2 linked regions of the Callithrix jacchus genome follow. The protein of the gene in region 1 binds, or shares a complex with, the protein of each later gene. Links are inferred from orthologs where the notes say so. Each region holds a gene or a part of one and is shown on either strand. Other genes may lie near its edges.

Region 1 (4,605 bases):
GAGTGGGTTATCAGAACTTATTAACATTAGTGTCACTAAAATTGGTATACAACCCCCCACTTCTAAATTTAACTGGCTTAATTTTTTTTTTAAAGAATAAGAGGAAAAAATAAGTGAGAACTGAATATTGAATTGAATATTCAATATTCAAACATTCCAGCCTTCTCTACTCAGCTGGAAAAATGTGTGCAAATTTGGATTTTTGAATTAAATGCCTTTAATAAGACTATCAAAAATATTTACCAGAAATAAACAAGAACCTCCTGGTTTGCAGGTCAAGTTCAGATGGGTGGACACACACACACACACATACACACACATAACTCATTACAAAATACACACTTATTAACCACATAAATTTATTTGTCTGAAATGAAGGATGAAGGCTTTACCAAATCTTAATAGGCTAATAACTGAAGATGAACTATGAATTTCTAGTGTTTTAGGTTTTACCTTTTTGTTTCCTATATACTGGGCAGATATTTTGAATAGTAACATCAATAGGTTTCTGCTAGGACCATTTTAAAGCCACATTTTAAACCTAACCACCTTCTTCTGCATTTCCAAGGATTAGCAATGTGGTTTATGGTCTTGAAATAGATTTTCAAGGGGCGGGGCGGAGGGAGAACTAGTCTACTATAACGTAGGCCTCCAAGCGCTAAGCTATAACCAACTGATGTATCTTGACATAAGGCCAAGCAGTCTTATTTACAAAACTCTAAGTTGCACAAGGAATCCCTACTTCCTAACATCCTTCAGTGTCCATTTATTTCCTCCCTATCCAAGTTTTTTCTCACTTCCTTAACTCGGCTATCACCTCTGAAATGTGTTTTTAAATCTCCTTTTCAAAAAGCCCCTAGGACTGTTCCATAAAGTTGATGGCTTCGATCCAAAATTCGGGCCTACTCTGCCCTTTTAACAGCTTCAATGTTAAATGCTCGGGCACTGTTCTTCGAATGACTGAAATATTATTTGCCTCCAGCGTTTGGTACCCTAACTTTCGAGAACAAGTCATTACAGTAAACCAAGTACACCTACTCGGTTTTCTAAAGCTCGTGTTTTTCACATTATCAGGTAAGCACAGAACGAACTGAGAAAATAAAAAGGCAAAACTCACAAACAGTGGCAACATGAAATTAATCAGCTGAGCTATCCGAACCACAAGTTTCTGCATTTCACGGTGCCTCATCTTTCAAATTGTATGGCTCTCCCAAGTCCTAGGCTTCCTGCGAATTAAGGCAAGCCTCCTCGCCCATTCCGCGATCGGTGTCTTTCCGACTCGCGCCCGCCCCCCCGCCAGGCCCTCGCAGCCATGCGCCGCACACTGCAGCACTGGCGCGCGCGGCCCGCAGGCGCGGCGGACCCCGCCCCGCGGCCACGCGAGGGGAGGGGGCTCGGGGCTGGAGCCCGCCTTTGCGGCGGCCAGGCCTGGCGCCGAGTGGGCGCGCCGGGCCGGAGGAGGGGCTCCCGGCCGCGGCACCGCCTGTGCCCGCCCGCCCCTCCGCAGCCACTACTTAAGAGGCTCCAGCGCTCGCCCCGCCCCAGTGCGTTACTTACCTCGACTCTTAGCTTGTCGGGGACGGTAACCGGGACCCGGTGTCTCCTCCTGTCGCCTTCGCCTCCTAATCCCTAGCCACTATGGTGAGTGGGCCGCGCGGCTGCCGGCCGCTTTCAGGGCAGCAGGGATACGCGAGTCGGCGGGGTGTGGGGGAGCCTGTATACAGCGGGGGAAGGCTGGCCCCAGAGCCGTCCGTTTGAAGGGCGGCAAGCGGGACGAGATGCCAGATCCGGAGTCGTGAGACCTCGGTCTTTGTAAATGGCGGGGGCCCGGAAAGGTTGAGGGGCGCCAGGATTTCTTCTCAGACTCTGGAAGGGATGGGAGGGCTCAGCCCTCCGCCTTATCCGGAGCTCTCTTTTAGCGCGTAACTCTGTCCTGGGCGCGGCACCTCGAGTCCCAGCAGTCCTTTACAGCGCATGCCCTTCCCCCGCCTTGGGTGGACGCGCGCGCCGACTCTTCTAGCCCTCACTTCCTCTTGATCGCGAAAAGCGGGGGTGGGAAGGCGCTGGAGACAAAAGCGCGCACGCGCGACCGTTACCTTCCCGCCGCTGCAGGGCGGGAAACCACCACTGCGGTCTGCGCATGCGCGCTGGTGGCGGCGCGACTACGGCTTCAGGGCGTGTCTCTTGTTGACCTGAGGGTTTTTTTTTTAAATGGAAGCAGTAAGAGGGGCCGGGCGGGGTGGATCACCTGAGGTCAGGAGTTTGAGATCAGCTTGGCCAACATGGTGAAGCCCTGTCTCCACTAAAAATGCAAAAATTGGCCGGACTTGGTAGTGCACGCCTTGTAGTCCCAGCTACTCGGAAGGCTGAGGCAGGCGAATCGCTTGAACCTGGGAGGTGGAAGTTGCAGTGAGCAGAGGTCGTGCCACTGCAATCCAGCCTGGGCGACAGAGCCAGACTCCATCTCAAAAAATAAAAATTAAAAAATGCAATAAGAGGAATGTGAGGAAGTGTACCGCACTACACCAGTGTATTAGGACACTTAGTTCACAACAGCCTTTAGAGGCCACCTGTCTCTCCCTGCTGCGTTGGGAATTCTGGGGAGCAGGTGGTGCCAGTGAGGGATTTTGAGGGAACGGAAATCGGATCTTGGTTCAGATCTGGGCCGCCGATAATCCCCTACTGCGCTCAGACTGCTGTGGAGGTGTTAGGCTGAGCTCGATGCCGGCAGGCAAGGGAGGATGGGCAGCCTGGGCAGCGCCTTTGCAGACGTGGCCATTTCGTGCCTCTGCAGCGCCCCCGGGGGGCGCGGGAGCGCGCGCCCTGAATTGCTCATTCATCCTGTGCCGCATAGCCCCACCCCTTGTCCCTGCGGACAGACATTTCTGCGCTGGTCTGGCCACGTGCTTTTCCTGTGCTAGGAGCTGCCCGGAAATGTGGCCACTCAATCTAAAGTGGGATTCTGGGGCCGGAGCGCTGGATGGATGCCCACCCTCCTGTCTTGGTCCTCCAAAGGAGGAAGCTGTGACTAAGCTGTCGTGATCTGGAAGAAGGCCTTCCCCGTTTATTAATGGGAAGGTAACATGCGTTAAAAGCGATATAGACCCTATAATGTAGCTGTTCTCAAAAGAGTAATACATCTTATGTCGCTTTAAAAAAGAAAAAAAAATTTTTTTAAGATTATGTGATAGCCTGGGTAACATAACCAGACTCATCTCCTCCAAAAAAGAAAAAATAAGCCAGCCGTGGTGGCCTGTGCCTGTGGTCCCAGCTGCCCTGGAGGCTGGAGTAGGGGGATGACTTGAGCTCAGGAGGTTGAGGCTGCGATGAACCTGGACGGCACCACTGCACTCAAACCTAAGCAACAGAACTTATCACTAAAAATAAAGATTGCATGGGGGATGACTTGAGCTCAGGAGGTTGAGGCTGCGATGAACCGGCACCACTGCACTCAAACCTAAGCAACAGAACTTATCACTAAAAATAAAGATTGCATGAGTATTTTGTTTCACTTGACAGTCACCAACAGATTAAGTTGTGATGTATTTTTTTCTCCCACAGCGTGAGTGCATCTCCATCCACGTTGGCCAGGCTGGTGTCCAGATTGGCAATGCCTGCTGGGAGCTCTACTGCCTGGAACATGGCATCCAGCCCGATGGCCAGATGCCAAGTGACAAGACCATTGGGGGAGGAGATGACTCCTTCAACACCTTCTTCAGTGAGACGGGTGCTGGCAAGCACGTGCCCCGGGCAGTGTTTGTAGACCTGGAACCCACGGTCATTGGTGAGTTGGCCTCGGTAACCCAAGTGAGATCCCAGGGTGCTGGGACAGGAGGTCTGTCCTGGGGGATCTGCTGGTTACTCGCTCACTCACCCAGTCCTTCTGTCCTCCTGTCCCTCCTCCAGATGAAGTTCGCACTGGCACCTACCGCCAGCTCTTCCACCCTGAACAGCTCATCACAGGCAAGGAAGATGCTGCCAATAACTATGCCCGAGGGCACTACACCATCGGCAAGGAGATCATTGACCTCGTGTTGGACCGAATTCGTAAACTGGTATGTTTCAAGAATAAAGTAAATTAATCTGCCTTAAAAGGACATTTGAAATAATGCTGTTTTGTTGGGGATTTTTTTTGTTTTTTGAGACTGAGTTTCGCTCTTGTTACCCAGGCCAGAGTGCAATGGGGCGATCTCGGCTCACTGCAACCTCCGCCTCCTGGGTTCAGGCAATTCTCCTGCCTCAGCCTCCTGAGTAGCTGGGATTACAGGCACGTGCCACCGTGCCCAGATAATTTTTTGTATTTTTAGTAGAGACAGGGTTTCACCATGTTGACCAGGATGGTCTTGATCTCTTGACCTCGTGATCTACCCGCCTCGGCCTCCCAAAGTGCTGGGATTACAGGCATGAGCCACCCCGCCCGGCCATAATGCTGTTTGTTCTTTTTTTTAAACACAGAATTGAACTGTTATTTTAGTAAAGAGTGGAATGAGTTATTCCTTTGGGGTTTTAAAAATTCAGTTAAAATGAACTATTTTGTGTCATTTTGTAAATGTTAATGAGAATTTTCTAAAAAGCATTTGTTAAAATAAGATTTAAGTCCTGGGA
Region 2 (3,702 bases), on another chromosome or scaffold:
AGGGCCGGTTGCGGTATGGGCTGCGGCCGGCGAACCCCACAGAGGAGGGCCTGGCCAGCCTGCACAGCGTGCTGTTCCGCAAGCAGCCGTTCCTGTGGCGCGCCGCGCTTCTCTACTACACCATCCACCGTGCCGCGCGCATGTCCTTCCGCCAGCTCTTCCAGGACCTAGCGCGCTACGTGCAGGACGCCAACGTGCGCTGGGAGTACTGCGTGCGCGCCAAGCGCGGCCAGACAGACACCTCGCTTCCGGGTGGGCGCCAGCGTAGGGGAGGTGCCTAGGGTGGGGTGGGTCTAGAGGTAGGGCCTCGGGCGAGTGGCCAGGCTCACCGACTTCCCGCGCTCCCAGGTTGTTTCAGCAAGGACCAGGTGTACCTAGACGGCATCGTGCGCATTCTGCGACATCGCCAGACCATTGATTTCCCGCTGCTGACCTCACTGGGCAAGGTGAGGGATTGGACCTTGAGAGCCTCAGCCAGCTCCCTGCTTTGCCATAGTATACCCTGAGCCTCAGATTGGTGCTGGACTGAGGGTTGGGTGTCAGGCCTCTGCTGGCGGGGGAAGCGTGGGTGGAAGTGAGAACAGGAGATGAAATGACTCTGACAGCTAAAATCATATGCCTAATGGAGGCTGCAGGTGTGTTTAGAAACTGCATCTCAAAGGAGGTGAACATTCTAGGCCAAGGGAGCAATCAGGAAGGCCAGGGGAAGGAGGCTGCAGAAAAGGACATTGACCAACTCCCTGGTACTGGCGCACTGGCATTTGTGCCAGGCCAAGGAATGTAGACCTCATCTGAAGCAACAGGGAGTGGGAGGAGCTTTTTTTTTTTTTTTAATTTTTATTTATTTATTTTTTTGAGACGGAGTTTCTCTGTTGTTACCCAGACTGGAGTGCAATGGCACGATCTCGGCTCACTGCAACCTCCGACTTCTGGGTTCAAGCAATTCTCCTGCCTCAGCCTCCCGAGTAGCTGGGACTACAGGCATACACCACCATGCCCAGCTAATTTTTTTGTATTTTTACTAGAGACGGGGTTTCACCTTGTTGACCAGGATGGTCTCCATCTCTTGACCTCGTGATCCACCCGCCTTGGCCTCCCAAAGTGCTGGGATTATAGGCGTGAGCCACCGCGCCCGGCGGGAGGCGCTTTAAGCAGAGGAGTGGCACTGATAATTTGCTTTAGAAGGTGCCCTCTGGATGTTTTATGGGAGGTGGATTGGAGAGAGGCCTAGGGAAGGGAGGGAAAGGGCATGAGGAGGAGGCCTTTCCTGTCACTCCTGCAGAAGGGATGGTGGTCTGGCATAACCAGGCAGTGGCCATGGGGTTTGAGAGGAAGGGACTAGCTGGAGGACTCTTCAGAGAGGGGAATCCTTTTAACTCAGTGGCTTCCCTGATGGGAGGGTGAGAGTCCAAGCCCCCTCCCTGGAATCTGACCTGGGTGACTGTGAAGAGGGTGGAGCTAGCATAAGCTGGCACCCAGGAGTTGACCGTTGGATATGGGGCCAGTCTGAGGGCTATCCAGGGGAAGACGTTAAGGAGGCAGTTGGATGCCCATGTTTGGAGGTGAGGGGAGAGGCTGGGCTGGAGAGAGGAGTGGGGTCGTAGGAGATCTCTGACAGAAACTATTAAGAGAAAAAGCAAAGACCCAGGATTGAGCCTAGAATGTTGTAGTACAAAACGTTGTAGCTGCTTGTGGATCAGGAGGGGAGAGGAAGGAGTCGCGGACCAAAGGGCAATAAGCTGTAAGCAGTGGGCTGGGACCGGCCACCTGAAAGTCAGGGGCTACTGCCTATGCCTGATGCCCAGCTTCCTCCTGCAGGTGTCCTATGAGGATGTGGACCACCTGCGGCCCCATGGGGTGCTGGATAATACCCGGGTGCCCCACTTCATGCAGGACTTAGCACGCTACCGGCAGCAGCTGGAGCACATCATGGCCACCAACCGGCTGGATGAGGCAGAGCTGGGTCGTCTGCTGCCAGAGTGATGTCAGTTGAGGGCTGCAGGCAGAGGCCCTGGACAGAAGCTCCAGATAGGCCCCCAGAACATGAAGCTGTTTGCTCTGTGCTTCCTGGGTGTTTCTTGGGGGTGTTGAGAGGGCGGGAGCATTCCGTGAGGAGCGTCAATATCAGAGGGTTTGTGTCCATTGCTAGCCTTCTTGGGGCCTGGGGACATGTAGCAGCATGTCTGGCAAATTGAGTTGCCCTCCTCCTTCCAGCTCTCTGTTGAACAGAGGGAAGGCATGGGGGCAGGAACGGAGCTGAGCATTAATGGGGATGGGTTTGTTTGGGAATAGAAACTTGTTCTTGCATGAGATGGCTTTGGGTGGCTGGGTACTCCAGTGTCTCCCTTACCCCACCTGGCCCCTCGGTGCTCCTTCAGCATTTGTGCTGTCTACCTCTCACTGGGTCCTGGTGGGGGTTGGGATCCCTTCTCCTGGGGTGATTGATGGCCTGAGCCTGGGGTCAGTAGAGACCCAGCTGGTCTGGGGTATTCTTTACAACACTTTGCCTCTCTCACTGATTATGTATTTATTCCATATTTATGTGCTCTATTTCCTATGGCTGGGAGCAGCAGCTCCTGAAGATTCCATGGGGAGAACAGGATACTCCTTCCTGGAAGGCACCGATTTTCCCAGCCCCACTCACATTACACACACACACACACACACACACACACACACACACACACACACAGTGATTCAGGCCTTGTGAGTCAAGCCCAAAAGTTCCCTTGGCCCTGTCCCCACCCCTCCACTGGCCTCTGCTGTTCCTGTCTTTGCCCACACTCTCACAGCTGGTTTCTGGCAGAGGTTAGCACAGCCTAGGAGCAGCTACAATTGCGTCTGAGGGACAGGCCCCTAGAGTTTGGTGGCCCAAGTCCTGAACCCCTCCTAGACCAGGTGAGGTGCATAGGTGTTGCTGCTTCCAGTTTCCCTTCAGACTTAGCTGTGTGAACCCCACTCCTACCCTCTGGCCTTAGTTTTCCCATCTGTAAAACTCAGAAACGCAGTTGGAAAGTCCTTATTCATTTAGTCAGCAAATATAATATGTGTACAGTGTCTTTTGTGTAAGTTACTAGTCAGAATCCTCACTGAGCTCCCAGTCCAGAGGGAAGCCAGACAATTAAAACAGTAATGACAATGATATGATGTCTGTGGCCTCTGTCTACTCCCCTCTTTCTGCTCCCCTCTTCTAGTCTCACTTCTCAAGTCTGTGAGCTCTAAGCCCTCCCTACATGGAGAGAAGTCCCCCTCCACTTGCTACATGTTAAACCCAGGGACTTGCATGGGGTTGAGCTGGTACCTACACAGGCTGCCAAGTGACTCATTAGGGAAAATGGGTTGTGTATGTGGGCATGAGGGTCAGGTCCTTGTCCCAATAGGGCACTGGGTCTGAGGTCTCCAGGGTGCAGCCTGGGCTCCTAGGGGCAGATTAGGACTGGGTGGTGATTGTGGTGGGCTTGGGGCTGCCCAGGTCACTGAGACTCAGGGGCACCCACCCTCAGTTCCTGGGCAAACAGCCAGAATCATGGAGAGAGCCCAGGACCTGGCTGACCCTCGGGAGTTTCTTTACTTCTAGCGGTACTGGGCTGGACCGAGCCTTGGTGGCATCTGATCCAGCTCCGGCAGCATCCCAGGTCCTATCCAGCATGGGCGGTGCACAGCCGGTCAGTGCTCTGGCCTTCAGGAATCTAGAGATGACCG

What was found.
Region 2: the proteins of tubulin alpha-1B chain (region 1) and MATCAP1 are in contact, whole or in part, in a cryo-EM structure (PDB 7Z6S), measured with the Homo sapiens proteins. The link is inferred for Callithrix jacchus from reciprocal best matches to the Homo sapiens genes TUBA1B and MATCAP1. Residues at the interface, in NP_006073.2 of Homo sapiens: Asp345, Trp346, Arg422, Glu423, Ala426, Ala427, Glu429, Lys430, Asp431, Glu433, Glu434, Val435, Gly436, Val437, Asp438, Ser439, Val440, Glu441; in NP_001035805.1 of Homo sapiens: Lys219, Cys220, Trp223, Val226, Arg227, Gly237, Glu238, Val239, Val240, Val241, Gln242, Leu243, Met253, Met254, Val255, Glu256, Asn257, Ser258, Arg259, Pro260, Thr261.

Annotation. Positions count from the first base shown.
Region 1 is NC_133510.1:70,423,705-70,428,309, forward strand, and holds the start of tubulin alpha-1B chain, read left to right. Parts: upstream 1-1,543; 5' UTR 1,544-1,638; coding exon 1,639-1,641; exon of another isoform or gene 1,642-2,048; intron 2,049-3,561; coding exon 3,562-3,784; intron 3,785-3,906; coding exon 3,907-4,055; intron 4,056-4,605. UniProt on the Homo sapiens protein: Tubulin is the major constituent of microtubules, protein filaments consisting of alpha- and beta-tubulin heterodimers. Microtubules grow by the addition of GTP-tubulin dimers to the microtubule end, where a stabilizing cap forms.
Region 2 is NC_133521.1:24,685,051-24,688,752, reverse strand, and holds the end of MATCAP1 (microtubule-associated tyrosine carboxypeptidase 1), read left to right. Parts: coding exon 1-252; intron 253-348; coding exon 349-446; intron 447-1,818; coding exon 1,819-1,983; 3' UTR 1,984-3,142; downstream 3,143-3,702. Other genes in the region: NOL3 (nucleolar protein 3), read right to left, coding at 3,682-3,689. UniProt on the Homo sapiens protein: Tyrosine carboxypeptidase that removes the C-terminal tyrosine residue of alpha-tubulin, thereby regulating microtubule dynamics and function. Also able to remove the C-terminal phenylalanine residue of alpha-tubulin TUBA8.